2 linked regions of the Astyanax mexicanus genome follow. The protein of the gene in region 2 interacts with the protein of the main gene of each other region in a biochemical or structural test. Links are inferred from orthologs where the notes say so. Each region holds a gene or a part of one and is shown on either strand. Other genes may lie near its edges.

The links.
Region 1: the proteins of drap1 (region 2) and dr1 form a complex in vitro, tested with the Homo sapiens proteins (2 studies listed by BioGRID). The link is inferred for Astyanax mexicanus from reciprocal best matches to the Homo sapiens genes DRAP1 and DR1.

What each region holds. Positions count from the first base shown.
Region 1 is NC_064412.1:51,507,179-51,515,005, reverse strand, and holds the start of dr1 (protein Dr1), read right to left. Parts: upstream 3,002-7,827; 5' UTR 2,353-3,001; intron 1,620-2,352; 5' UTR 1,616-1,619; coding exon 1,393-1,615; intron 1-1,392. Other genes in the region: zgc:109982 (retinol dehydrogenase 8), read right to left, coding at 5,170-5,406, 6,533-6,716. UniProt on the Homo sapiens protein: The association of the DR1/DRAP1 heterodimer with TBP results in a functional repression of both activated and basal transcription of class II genes.
Region 2 is NC_064432.1:18,622,977-18,629,944, forward strand, and holds the start of drap1 (dr1-associated corepressor), read right to left. Parts: upstream 3,012-6,968; 5' UTR 2,916-3,011; coding exon 2,874-2,915; intron 735-2,873; coding exon 662-734; intron 107-661; coding exon 13-106; intron 1-12. Other genes in the region: c25h11orf68 (UPF0696 protein C11orf68 homolog), read left to right, coding at 6,124-6,852. UniProt on the Homo sapiens protein: The association of the DR1/DRAP1 heterodimer with TBP results in a functional repression of both activated and basal transcription of class II genes.

The DNA of each region.
Region 1 (7,827 bases), on a different chromosome or scaffold from region 2:
TAGAGGAAAACAACCCATGTAGATGAAAACAACAGGAAGTTGCAAAGTGCACCAAAGTGTTACTAAACTGCAGAGTGAAATCAAAACTAGATTAACAAAATATAAGTACCTCAATGTAACACACACACACATACATACATACTTTGAGCTGGACTTTCAGGTGTGGAAAAACCTTAAAAACCATGAACTGTCCAACAGAAATGCTCATAAAAACTATTTATATTGACTTCTAAGTGAAGATGAAGGGGGGAAAAAAGAATCCTTACATTATTTGTGCACTAGCACTTTTCTTCAACACATTCTGCTGTGCCTGATCTCTTGGCTAGCTATGTGGGCATGTTCGTGATGTTTTTAATTCAAAGGAAGCAACAGAAGCAGGCAATCATAAGTTTTTAAGTTTTAGCTTTTACATTTTTTAATCAACCTCATTGTAATCTATAGTTCTGTCAATACTTATTCAGCATCTCTTCTGTAGTAAAAAGGCGCCTGTTCTGTGTGTACTCCTTGTATGCCCTGCTGAACTTTTTCACCGTACGACGAGGCTGCGTTCAGCACAACGCAACCCACCACAGCATGCCGCGACTCTATCCATTGAAATTGGATAGGATGAGTCAAGTCCTAGTGGACACGTACAGTTGCCATCTGAGATAGCAAGCTTTCACATGGCAGCAGTAGCAGTTCAGTGGTGTCCTAAAGATGATGAGGGTTACAAAATTACACCCTCCATTGTTGAGCTACACCACCTTCAGAGCCTCCAGGCACATCTTCTGTAGACCAGGCTCATCAACTACACACCATCTGTCACCATCTCTACTGGACCAATACCAAGCTATTGTTGACCTAAACCAGCTAGAGTGGGTTTCATCCAACAGGGGAACAAAGGGCAGTGATTGGGATGGGCCTTAAGTTAAAAAAAATAAATATATCTTTTTAATATTTTATTACAGTATGCTGTATTTTGATACAAAGACACTTTTAAAAGAGAATTCACAAATAAAAACATGAATGCAATAAGTTCTGATGAAAATCGGTTTTGCTGATTCCACTCAGGGGCGCGCACCTGTACTCAAAGGGAGTCAGATTCTGGCAGGAAGGCAGAATTCAGCACAACACCTGGAAAGGCAACTTGCAGAACTGACAATATTCTTCAAACCAATGAATATGTGCGTCAAGTAAAGGGAAATACAGCCAACGTAGGCAACGATTACAGGATGCAGTAAAGTTCTTTAATAAATTATTAAATTTACTAAACCAACTAAATGCAGTTAGAATCCAAAACTAACCAAATTAAACGTACCGTATACAGCGTGACAAAAACATGAACCTTGGCTCTGACTGGTCCAGACTTGGTCCAACAGCAGCAATAAACATTAGACATGCAGAAGCTCTCACCATTGATGACGTGTTCTGGAGAGATGGTCTTCTTCTCAGACTTGTTGCAGATCTCGTTGGCCTCAGAGGAGATGAGGTGGATAAACTCTGTGCAGCAGTTGACCACCAGCTCTCTGGCGTCGTTGGCCACTCGCACATTGGGCAGTGTCTCTTTGATCATCTTGTTGATCGCTGCCCTCGGGATGGTCAGGTCATCATCATTTCCCGACGAGGAGGCCATCATATGGCTATAATGCACAACATAAATTATTAGACATAGATATTTATTTGGCCATATCTTTTACTTGTTTGATATATTTAGGATATACAAATATTTCAATATTCCAATTGCAGTGTGTGAATACTAGGGGTAGGAATCACAGGGCATCTCACAATTCGAGAATATCACGACACGATGCCCACGTTAACAACTATATCCCAATACTTGATATATCACATGGCAATTTTCTGTAGCTAACCCTAGTTATATCAGTGGCATAAAACAGTTTCAAAGGACAACGATAATACAGTTTTCTGCAATTACTACTGGGACAATACAGAATCATTTAAAAGTTTGGACAAACCTCTCTCATTCAATGTTTTCCTTAATTTTTTTTTTTTTACATTGCAAATTTAATGCTGAAAGAGTTTTCTCAGCATCTTGAAGGAGTTCCTGGAGGTGCTGAACAATATTTGCTGCTTTTCCTTCATGCTGTGAAGCTCCAGCTCATCCCAGATCACCTCAGTTAATCAGGTTTAGATCACGGGATGTTGTGAAGGACAAACACTTTTTTTAACTGTTTACTACGTAATGTGTCCCTTAATTGTTTTTGTGCCTTTTGTGTATTAATTTATAACGCACAAAATTATATATTATTGAAAAAATAACAAAAAAACATTGAATGAGAAGGTGTGTCCAAATTGTGACTGGTACTGCAAAGCTACATCAGCCAGAAAAGTAGGCTATCGTGACAGACTTACTTGGAGCTGAAGCCAAGGATGCAGAGTGAGGGAGGAAAGGAGGAGACCTGCTGTGCTCTTGTGCACTCCTGTGTGCACTCCCGAGGGCACAACGGGGCTCTGGGCTTTACCTGGAGCTGCTGGAGCAGACAGTACAGGTACCGGAGGCTAAATGAAGGTGTGAGTAGTGAATGAAGTGAGCCAGCCGGCTCGACCAGAAGCTCCACTAGCTTTAGCAAAGCCTGAGTCCGTGTGGAGACAGCAGCTAATGCTAAGTTAGGTAGTAAACAAGGTGTAAAAACTATGTATCTACTTACTACTACTACAAACACACAGTGTAAGAGCCCAGTCGTGTGTTTTAGAGTTTAATAATGAGGGTTTTCGGTTCACTGGGGGAGGGCTGAGACTGCTGTGAGTCCTGCTCCCCCGCTTTTGTCTCGGGCTGTGTGTCTGAGCCCGGTTGGAAGTGAGCTCGGCTGGAGGCTCAGTGAGCCGCAGCAGCGCCGCAGCACCCGCTCAGCCCAACCGCCGCCATCCCTCAGCTCAGCCCAGCTCCAAAACACAGTGCCTCCCGAGCCTTTAACTCAAAACAGCCATGGTTTTAATCCCCCCCGCGGTCAGCCAGCTCCCGGACTCAGTCCCACAATGAAGGCTAAAGGATATCCGACCACCGGGCTTTCTCACTTCTTCCCCGCTCACCTCCACGCGCTCGCCCCCTAGCGCCCCGGCGTACCACCGGCGCGGAGAGAAGAAGAGGGGTCGAGTGGGCGTGTTCCAATCCGAGCGATATGTCAGGGCTAGTGCACTACGTAGTGTGTCAGCTGCTTTGAAGTCGTGTTCGGAGCATAGATATACATTGTGTATTTTTTTTGGCTCTTTTTGATTTGATCCTTTTTATACTTGAAGACGAGGTTGGGTAAGGAACTTCCCCTCAAAGTCCAAGATATATTGTATATTTCTGAGGAGAAATTTATTTGTGTACATTCAAATGTACACACATTTAAAAATGAAAAATGTCATAGATCCACAGATATTTTGAAGCTTTTCAATTTTATATTTTATATGAATCCTTTTCCCTTTTCTGTATGTTGTGCACAAAAAACAATATACAGTCTATGGTTCAAAGTGACATTAAGTTATTTTGATCACATCCGGGTGTGACTTATGTTCCAGCTATATGCATGCATGTATAAATATGTGTTCATGTTTACAGTTATTAAATAATTTCTAATGTCTATGTATTTCATAATTAATTATTAGTAGGTATTATGTGGGTGATTAGTAAGTGATATGACCCTAAAATTACATCACAAAAAAAATTGCGATAATACTTGGCATCTTATGTTAAAACATAAAACTTTCAAAATAAACTTCAGGAAGAATTCCTTTTAGTAGGAACAAAAATAATTTCGTTTTTTATTAAAACAGTACTTAAATGAACACAGGAGTTTGTATTACTGTGGATACAACTTTTGAAAAATAAAGAAACAGTAAATAGGTGTGTGTGTGTGTGTGTGTGTGTGTGTGTGTGTGTGTGTGTGTGTGGAGATCCGTTCCCCGGTTTATCAGTAAACGACTAGTGAACGCTAGAGGGAGCTTGAATAGAGCTAAATGGCTAAGAAATCAAAAGATGAACAATTTATAAACACCTTACCACATATTACTTTAATTGTAAAAGGTAAAATAAGGAATTTCCCCTAAAAAAGTAAAGAAAACTTGCCTGTATGTTTCCATTTTTCCTCACCAGGCGCCAGCATAACTGCTGCTGTGAGCTGACTGGTTGGTGAGCTAATGTTGAAATAACAGCCAGGGCACTGATTTTAAAGAAATTAGTAAGTAAAAGTCTTTTTTTTTGTGCTAATTATTTAAATTGTTTTGAAAATTAACTTCGATATAAAACTGTGATGAAAGAAATAGTAAAACACTAATGTTACAATATAAGGTAAATAGCGATACTAATAATAAAATTCCTATATACAAAATAAGTCGAACACTCAGTTGTTTTGCCACTTGTTTCAAATGTATGACAGTCATATTTTGGACTAGTTTAAGCTTCTAAAGGGCAGGTTTTAGATTGACTTTGGACTGGATATTTTGTTGGACCTGGCAACCCTGTTAGCAGTTTATGTTAGCATGTTGTAGCATAACCCAGCTGTGGAAATTACTTTAAATGCCTGACATTACTATGCTAGTGGTTTTGATAAAGTACCTAGCTATGATAAGCAAATCATGTGCTAACATGTTTTTTTTTTTTTTTTTTTACTTTCTTAGAAAAAAAAAATGAAGATACATCCTGATCAATTTACAACAGAAAACATAATCTTTATTAGTCCTTTAAAGGTAGCACATTTCTCATATTTTTCTACCGAAAATATAATCCTTATTGGTCCTTTAAAGGTAGCATATTGTTAACTGTCCTCCACACACACAGCAAAGCACCTAGGGATGGATTCCTGGATTAGGATTAGGATCCAGATCCAGATTCTGGAGGAAATCGTTTTGTCGTTTAGGTAATGTCCGTGAATACTTTAAAAGGCTTACAATTTGTGAGGTGGTCTATTGGAGCATATGTCTGCAGCTGTACACTGTAGATCAGATACTGATCCAGTATTAAGCCTTCCGGTTATATCTTCCATATAAGAGAATGACAGTTCCAGACGCTCAGGTGTTATATAAGCCTTTATCGAGGTAGCACACAGACCAGGTAAAAATACATTCAGCATAATAATGGTCATAATCAGATTATCAGATTCAAAATAATCTGCGTGCTATAGCTAAAAGAGGAAAGGGGTTTATAAGGGACGGGCAGGTGGTCTCTGTGGGGTTCTGGCACAGCCGTTAAGACTTGTCCTTTTCCAGACTGCTGAAGCTCTTGCGACTCCTCCAGCGCAGCAGCTTGAGGAAGTTCAGGCTGGCGCTGAAGACCTTGTCATGCTCGAACACCACCTTATAGAAGGTATCGATGGGCAGGTCACCGTTGGGGTCAGCGTATTTAAGGGTGGTCACTGGAGTGTACAGGGTGTTGGTCTGATGACGGAATGGTGGGTTGTCCATTGTGATGATTTTGAGTGTATGCTGTTGAAGGAAGCATATGATTTTTTGATTAGACAGTTGGATATCCACTAGTTTAGCAGACACTTTAGCTGACATATCCATTCTCCACTTACTTATGTGTTTTTTTCCAGGCAATATCGCAACAAATCTTTGTCAAATTTCCCAATAAAACAAATGACTGTAGATAATATTAATTTGCTTCTTTTCCATCTGATTTATTAAACCCCTCTTCCACCTCCACTGTATTTGTGTTTGGATAAATGTTTTAAATGTAGTTCCTTTAAACACAGAGGCAGCTCCTCTCCTGTGGAACCTGGTGGAAATAAGTTTGATGGAGCTCCTCAACACTGCATACTTTTTAAGTTGTGTTTAAAACGCTGTTGTTCAAGCAATAAGTTAAGCTTTTCTTTTAATAAGTGTGACGTCCTGTAGCTAAGCATATGATACTACCGTACTAATCCTGTACACTTATTATCACTGTGGTTGTAATGCTTATCAGTGGTCCAATGGTCTCAATCTGGAGCAGCTGAACAAACATAGATCTATTGCCACCATGCCTAATGACCAGGCACAATCTATATAGGAGCATGCTTTATAGCATTAAATTGGCAAGCAGTGGAACTGTGTTCTCTAGAATGATGGTGCTCTATCAGTCAAATTCCTTTATTCCAAGGATTTGCAATCTGATCCTCACAGCAATGCTCCAACATCTAGAAGAAATCCTTTCCTTGACAGTAGAGACAGTTACTCCAACAAAAGCACAAAAAACTATTTTTAATACCATCTTGCAGAGTAAATAATGAATGAACAGGTGTCCAAATACTTTTGTCCAAATAGTGTTACTTGAATCTGGTCACTGTTATTTGCATTGTATAGAAATTTTAGGATGAATAGACCAATAGAAATGCTCCAGAATGACATAAGAGTAAATATTTTTTCCACTGAAAGTTAAGAATGCCATTTCTTCTCTAGTTCTACAAACATTGCATGACAGTGACTGTATGTTGAATATGTTCTATGCCCTAATAAACCCAAAATGGAAACATTAACAACTCCAATTTTCAGCTACTAATCATGATACATTCGCCTTTTTAACCATGAACCTGAATATTGTCCATTATTACAGCCCTGTACTATATCTGTGTACCTCTGCAATAACCTCCGGCGTCTGGCCCAGGCTTTCGAATATCTGGGTCCAGTGCCTCATGTAGATATTGAGAAACATGTCTGCAGTCACTGAGTCCACTTTAGACATGTCGCTCTTCATGCCCTCCTCGTACACTTTATGCTCAAAATCTGTGATGACTGGTCCTGGTTCAATTAGGCTTATGCTGGAAAAGAAAACAGAGACCATTAGTACTATACTAACGCCTGTATTAACATGCCCCTGGAATTTCGCAAAACTCGGCATACAGTTGATTCTCAGGCAGATATGTAAATGATTACAGGCATGGTCTGAATATACATTGGTTCTTGCCATAAGAGTGCTACCCCCACCGCCCTATGCTACTTTTGAATAGTGTACCTTCTGGTGAGAGATTGTTGACTGCAAGTCATGCGTCTATGATGCACTCAAGACATTATTCCCAGTTGACACAGTAAGACACAATCGCCCTCAACAAAACCCCCTCAAGCAATCCATTGGGATCCAATCCATTTGGGATTCAGCAACAGTGGGGTTAGAGTATGGAGGCCTCTTGCCAGGATGCCAAACAGAACCTGTATGCCACCATGCCCAACCGTTTCTCATCTTGTGTTCATAAAAGGCTGCTCAAAAGGGTACTTTCTACCAGGGCTATTAAAATGCACAAGTGAAGCACTTCTCCCTTATGAGGAAATGTGTCATAAATCTGTAAGTTAACTCAAATCCACAAGCCAAGTCTGAAGATAAACCCAGAGAATCCTCTGTAAATGAAAGTAAGTCGTAGCTGCTCCAGCCAGCAGTCAGCTGTGCTTATGTAATATGCAGCATTGCTAGGATATTGCGATTCGAGTGTGCAGATGTTCCACACACAAGGGTGTGTGACCCAGGTGTGTATCTGCACGCACATGCAGTCTCATGACTGAACTCTCTTATCTGGCCAGAAACCATTAGGGGACTTTTCCAATCACAAATATTACAAGAAAATGGAAAAGGTCCACTTCCACAAACATCCTGTTTAGTGTTTTGGTACAGCTCTTTTTGAGTCAAATATTATAAAAAAAAAAAAGTTTGAAAAAACTTAAGTCAACCTCATTGTGCCATCTCTACTAACTGGCAGAAGTGTGGCATCCTCTAGAAATCCACTAGAGATCAGTGTGGTTGCGTCTCATTTGCACACTAAGTTGAGTATACTCAACTATATATTCACAATGCATACTTAGAAGATAGTATTTAAGTATGGTTGCAATGGACACTATTGTCCAGGGTTTTAATCAATCAGTGGTGCACATGTATTACCT
Region 2 (6,968 bases):
AAAATTACTCACAAATGCGATGTTGTCATAGTTTTGGCGTTCCGTGACTGGGTAACATGACAGGCTTTCGTCAGAAGAGACTCCAGAAACAGCTCAAGTGCCCGCGCTCGAACAGGGGTTAAAGAACCAACCAAACCAAGAACATCAACTACAGAGTAGAGAGGGTTATTAATCAACGCCAAAATAACAAAATATCTTGAAAGTGATTATTCACTTAAAAAAACCCTATTAAATCAACTAATCTCAGGTTATGCGATGCAGTGGAATGCATGGATCATGTGATCCAAGTGTTACCTCAAGGGACAGCTTGGGAACACCCACATATTGTAAGGTGTTATCTAGTGAGTGAGTGTGTGGGCATTTAAAATTCCTTAATCCACAGAGTCAAGTATTAACCAGGAATACAACATAGAAGGCATTACCACCTACAGTGGATAGTTCAGTGTATGGTTATGATTATGGCTGACAGCATCTGATTAGAAATGTGCATGTCCATCTTTGCACTGGACATCTAACTCTACAGAAATATTTAGGGCAGTAAAAGAATTAGCAATATTTAAAGGGCAATTTGCATAAGAACCTCAAACACTCTCATACTGACACATTTCTAAAACACTGCTGTACAACAGAAGACAGAAATATGTGAACTTTCAAAGGATACAGATAATAACGGGAACGGCAGCAGCGACTTTTCCTATTTCTTCATCTGTCTGCATAATCTTCTTAATTCTTGCCTGAAAGTAATACAAACACACATAGTGAGCGTGAAAAAGCTAGACAGATATTTTGGGAACAAAAAATGTAATTTACATAACAGTAGTTACTGAATAGCCACATACAGTACAGCTGGGTTCAGTGTATACTGTACAGAATACACTACAGGACACAAAAACATACTTAACACTGAAAGCTAAAATGTAACAGTGAATATTAAATACTAGTTATGCATTTCTGTCATTTTTTTTAGTGTGGAAACATTTACAGTGTGGAAATACTTCAAATTGGTGCTTTACATTCTATCAGACTTAGATATTTTCCTGTGCTTGAAACACAAAACCTTTACCAGCCACATCTTGTTGTATTTTAAATAAAATAAAGAACACAAACGTGCTCCTTTATTATACTACTTTATTGTAGTACTTATACTTATACTACTAATCTACCACCTGAGTCTCTGAGAGACATGCAACTATTGTACTTAAATGCATACTGTCCAAAAAAGATTTTCTACTAGATTAAGAGCATTCATAAAAGAATGTGATTACATCAATAAATTAGAGATGTACAATCTTATCTACACAGGGCTGCTGTGGTTGCAGATTTCCTTTTTTATGGAAAAAAAACAGCAGCAGCACACTTGGTTCCTCTTGTTTAATCAGTTGGTCAGTCTTCAAACAACTAATCACATGTGCTTCTGCTTCACTGGAATAAAAAACTGAAGGTACACCACTCTTTGTGGAGAAGAATGAGGCCTCTGTAGTAAATGGAGCAGAAAAATGCCACAAATACAAATGGTATGTAAATATTGTTGATATCTAAAGTTGGTTAGCAGCATAAGAGCAGCTGAGTAGCCTGCTGATATGTACAGAGCCAGAGAGCTGTTAATATTATGTTAAATGTATTCATTTTAAAATCACTTTAAATTTTATACCAAAAATCTTTTCTGATTTTTTGTTAAATAATTTTTATTTTATGTAAAATATCTCTGTTGAATTTTCACTAAATATTTGTTCGCTTTATGCCAAATATCTTTATTAATTTTATGGTAAACATCTGATAATTTTATAACAAATATTTGTTATATCTTTATGTTATATATATTGGTGTCACTTATCTATATTTTACATCAAATATCTCTCACCTAAACATCAAATATCTGCTCATTTTATTTTAAATTTCTCTATTAATTTTTCATTAAACATTTTTGGTTGTGTCAAATATCTCTGTTCATTTTACCATAAACATCTGTTGAGTTTGTGGAATAACTCTGTTAATTTTACTATAAACATCTGTTGATGTTATGTCAAATATCATTTGTTACATAAAACGTTACCTTAAACGCCTGTTGGTTTTATGCGAAATATCTCTGTTAACTTTACCATAAACATCTGTTGATTTTATGTCAAAAAACAATTGCTGGTTTTAAGTCAAATGTCTGTCAATTTTATGCCAAATATCTGTTAGTGTCAGTTAAATGTATCTGTGTTTATAGGTAAGTAAAACATCTGTGTTCTGTCTGTACAGTAGCTGGTTAGCTGAGTTTTCACTTTCCAACACAAACTGAGGGAACTAAGTTATGTTAGCTAGCTTATGTTAGCTACTTAGCAAAAACCTTTACTAGCGTTAGCTAGCTGGCTGGCTACACACAAAGATTATCCAGGATCATGGCTACATTAGTATTGACCAATTTGAACCACAGATTTTAGAATACTGCATAAAATAAAGTGTAAATTGTTTAATTATAAAGCTACACGGCCTCTGAATAATGCTGAGGACTGCAGCTGTTAGCTAGGCTAAGCTAGGCTAAGCTAAGCTAAGCTAACCGAACTCTCAGTTCTCCAGCGAGCAGCTGTACAGTAGGATTAGCCGGACCCGCTGAACCGCTCTACATTGAGTCTATGGGCTTCTCCAGCTCTCGGTATTACACTGGGTATTGTTTTAAACTCAGAATTAAACTTAGACTCGAGTCTAGACCAGGTAACAGAGTTAAACCCAGCCACAGGTTTTACTCCTCTCATTCAGAGTGGGCGTTAAGATAACAGGAGCTCCGCTAAGTTAGGCTAGGCTAAACTGTGCTAAGCTAACGTTAGCATGTACATAGAGAATCATTGAGCTTAGCATTAGCATTATCAGGTGAATGGGAGTAATCTCACCGGGGGGAATCTGGCGTTATATTTCTTCTTTTTGCTCGGCATGCTGTGTTTTACAGGACTCCTCCCGCTTTAGCCCGTGTGCTCTGTGTCTGTACTCCTTTGTCCCGCTGCCGGATCGGCTCCAGGCCGGGTTTAGGCTCGGTTTTAATGATAAACTCAGTGTTTTTGGTTCAGCAGCAGCGGCGGCTCCGTCTCCACCTCCTCCTCCTTCAGTCCAGCCGGGTCTCGCAGGGTCGCAGCTTGATCTCCGGCTGCGCTCCAATTTACAAGTGTGTTCAAATCAAGCCCATAACAAACTCAGCATGCTATAAAACAAAATAAAATAAAAATAATAGTGAAATTTCGCCTTAACTTTAAACTTAAACCTGTTTTTATTCGGTGTTTAAATATGGAAATACATTCCTGTCAGGTAAATGCCCTTTCTGGCCTTCTCAGTTTCTGGCAGCAGGATGCAAATCTTGATTCAGTAGGCCCTATCTCAATCTTAATCTCTAAAAAAACAGTTTGTCTTTATATTTCCACATCATATATTTCAAATTTATCATTATTATTTAAGTTAAAGGACTGCCGTTATGCCAAATATTAGCAAGTATTTTTAAATAATGACCCGGGAACAGGTTATTATTGAACTACTGAAATAGAATTACAAATAGCAATAGCATAGCAAAAAAAAGAAAGAAAAAATGATTTTTTCAAAGGATTGTCATTTTTTTGTGAAATCTAATTTCCTCCACTTAAAAAAAAACTTATTATTAAGTAAATTGCAATCTTATGATTATGAGGTACTAAGTCGTTATTGTGAGATCCTAAATCAACAAAAGCATTCATATAAACGACTTAGTATCTCAAAATAATGATGTATCTCAAAATAACAACTTAATATATAATATAATAAAATAATGACATAATATCTTAAAACAACAAGATCGTACATGAACATGACTTAGTATTTCAATGGTTTCTGCACATGTAGGTAAAGTTAAAAGGTGAATTGGGTAGTTTCTGGACCCACCACAACCCTGACCATCAGGGAAAAGAAGACGAATGAGTAAATAGATTTTATACTAATACTATACTAATTATTATTATTATTATTATTATTATTATTATTATTATTATTATTATTATTATTATTATTATTATTATTATTACCTAATAGTATTATATCCAACCTCCTCTTCACATTTGAAATTTGAAACTCTTCTTAGTTTCAAATTACCTTCAGAACGCATGTGACTGTTTTAACTCTTTATAATTTCTATGTTTTTATTAATTCATTTGTTATTGGTCTTAATTTAATTTTATTATTTTCTATATCATTATTATTTACTTTTTATCTATTTGTTAATTTTTTTTAAATCTCTTACATTGAGAAGATTTCCTCTTGATTTACTGCGAACATTTGGATATTTTCTTTACAGCTTTAATCTTGTAATGTTAAGGCTTTAGCCTCGTAATATTGCGACTTTATTCTCGAACGAACTGTTTTTTTAAAGAGTGGCCCTAAAACGCCGTCGTTTAGATATTTTCCAGTTGTTAAGCGACCTGTGGGGGAAGTAGGGAAACGAGCACACTAGCTAGGTTAGCTAAAGAGTGTTCGAAGTAGACGTGGCCTTTCTAGTGTGCGAGGGGAGACAGCACGGGCGCACAAATTGGGACAGAGCCAGACAATTCAAAAACAACGCATTAGCTCGGCTAGCTGTGGGTTTAGCGGCTGTTTTAGTGGTTTTAAAGGCGTGTTTGATGCCGCAGGTGAGCGTGTGCGGGCTGTATTGCAGTGTGAGCGCTGTATAATGCGCAATAGTGAGGAATTCTGTGAGTTTTCTGCTTTATTTCTCCTCTCTGGTGGTCGGGGCTAGTTGCAGCTGCTGCTGTGCTGTGTTTGGGGTAAAGTTTGCTGATTAAAGTCAGTGAGGAGGCTAAAGAGTGAGCTGTGTGTGGGGAGAGTCTTCTGTAGAGCTGTGGGGTGAAGGAATGAGTTTGTAACCTGTCTGTGCAGTGTTCATTAAGCTGTGTGTGGGTCTGCAGATCTGCAAATATAACTGCTGGTGTTGGGTCCAATGTTGCTACCCTGTCAAAACGTGCTCCCAGTGTATAATGTGTATTCATAGGTAAATCTGATTGACTAGTAGTTTATTCAGATTGGTTGAAAACATGATTTAATGTAAGTGAAGTTTGGTAGGTTAGGTAGAAGATATGTGGATATAGGCTAACTAGCCTGTATAGTACACAGTATAGCAATTATAAGGGTATATACGGTGTATTTATGTATTTGAATAGCCATTAAAACTCGTGTGAGACTCAAACAACCAATAACAGTAAGTCTAGACTGTAAAACACACTGTATGAGCAGATTTATCTCGAAAAACACATGAAAACGTAAAAAAGGCACAAAAAATTTTCAGCGCATGCGCAGTAGTGATTGTCACATGTCACATGTGGCATTTTTCTGAGTCGGTTCTTTTGGCTCGGCTCACTAAAAAAGGGCCGGCTCTTTCAACTCCCAACTGGCTCCGCAGATTTATTATTTGCTTAAATTAATCTATTACCGATTTATGTGTAAAATAAATCACTTTGACAGTACCTATCAAAAGTTTGGACACACCGCTTCTCATTCTATGTGTTTTCTTTCTTTTTATAATTTATTTTTACGTAGTAAATTTAATATCAAATACATTAAAGCTATACAGGAACAAATGCAGGATTATTTGGTAAGCAAACCAAAATATGTTTTACACTTTAGATTATGAAGTGGAAGTGGCACATTTACCTTTGATTACATATTTGAACACTGGTATTTTCTCTGTGTTTTCATGAGAGAGTCACCTGGTTCACATAGAATATTTTCATTAAAAAGATACTTTATTTCAGCAATTCAGTTCAAAATGTGAAACTCATATTATATAGACTTATTACACACCGAGTGATCTATTTTAAGCGTTTTAAAATTTACTGATGGTCAGTGATGGGTTGGAGAGTCATGTCTGCTGGTGTTGGTCTACTCTGTTATATCAATTCCAAAGTCAGTGCAGCGTTTTTTTTTTTTCCGGAAAATTTTAAAGCACTTCATCCTTCCCTCTGCTGACAACTTTTATAGAGAAGCTAGAACTGTGAAACTGCCTTATAATCATACAGGTTAACTCATAACTTTTTTTTTTGGTCTCTCTAACAGAAAAAGAGTGCCTTACACTAGCATATAGGACGTACGCTACCCGTGTACCAACACTCAACCCCGAGGTCCAGAAGAAGGATGGAGGAAGAGGAGGAACATGCCGAGCCTCTTTCGGCAGAAGACTACGCTGCCGAGGCCTTGGCCGCAGACATGGACCCGTGGATCATATTTGATGCCCGCAAAACGCCTAGAGCCGAATTCTACAGCTGGCTGGAGTCTAACAGGCCCTCCCAGGTGAGCCGTTTTGGAGACGAAGAAGGTGGTTTGGGCCCTGTGGGCTGGATCTCAGTGTTGGGTCCAGATCATGGTCCGGAGTACCCGGACGTGACTGGTCTTCAAGAAAGCTGGGAAAAGCTCCTGGCCAGTGGGCGCCAAGTCACTTTCCAGACCATAAAGGAGCTGGCATTGAACCACAATGTGCTCACAGGCAAATGGCTCATACACATGGACACCGGCTTCAAGGTGGACCGTGCCTGGGAATGCATAGCCAAAGCCGTGCTAGATGGGAAAATCTCCTCAGCCAAAGTGAGCCCACGAGATGCGAACTCTGAAGCCAAGCATGTCATTTGCGCCTACAACAACAACTTTGCAGACGAGGAGCAGGTCATGCAGCTGGACGCGGCCATAAGGGCTGCTGGGGTCAAGTGCTCACTCTCTTACAAGCCAGACGTCTACACTTACCTGGGAATATACCGAAATAACAAGTGGAAGCTGTGCCCAACCATCTACGAGAGCAAGTTTGATTTAGAGTGCGTGCCCAGGCGCTCACACATCATCAATAAAGTCACCAACCTGGAGGTTACATAAGGTGCATTGAGTTAGTTTGCCTTACTCTTTAATGGAATAGTGCAGTGGCTTTTAACATGACCTCTGTTTACAATATTGTATGTAATGTATAGCCAGATGCCACAGGCAGCAGTTTA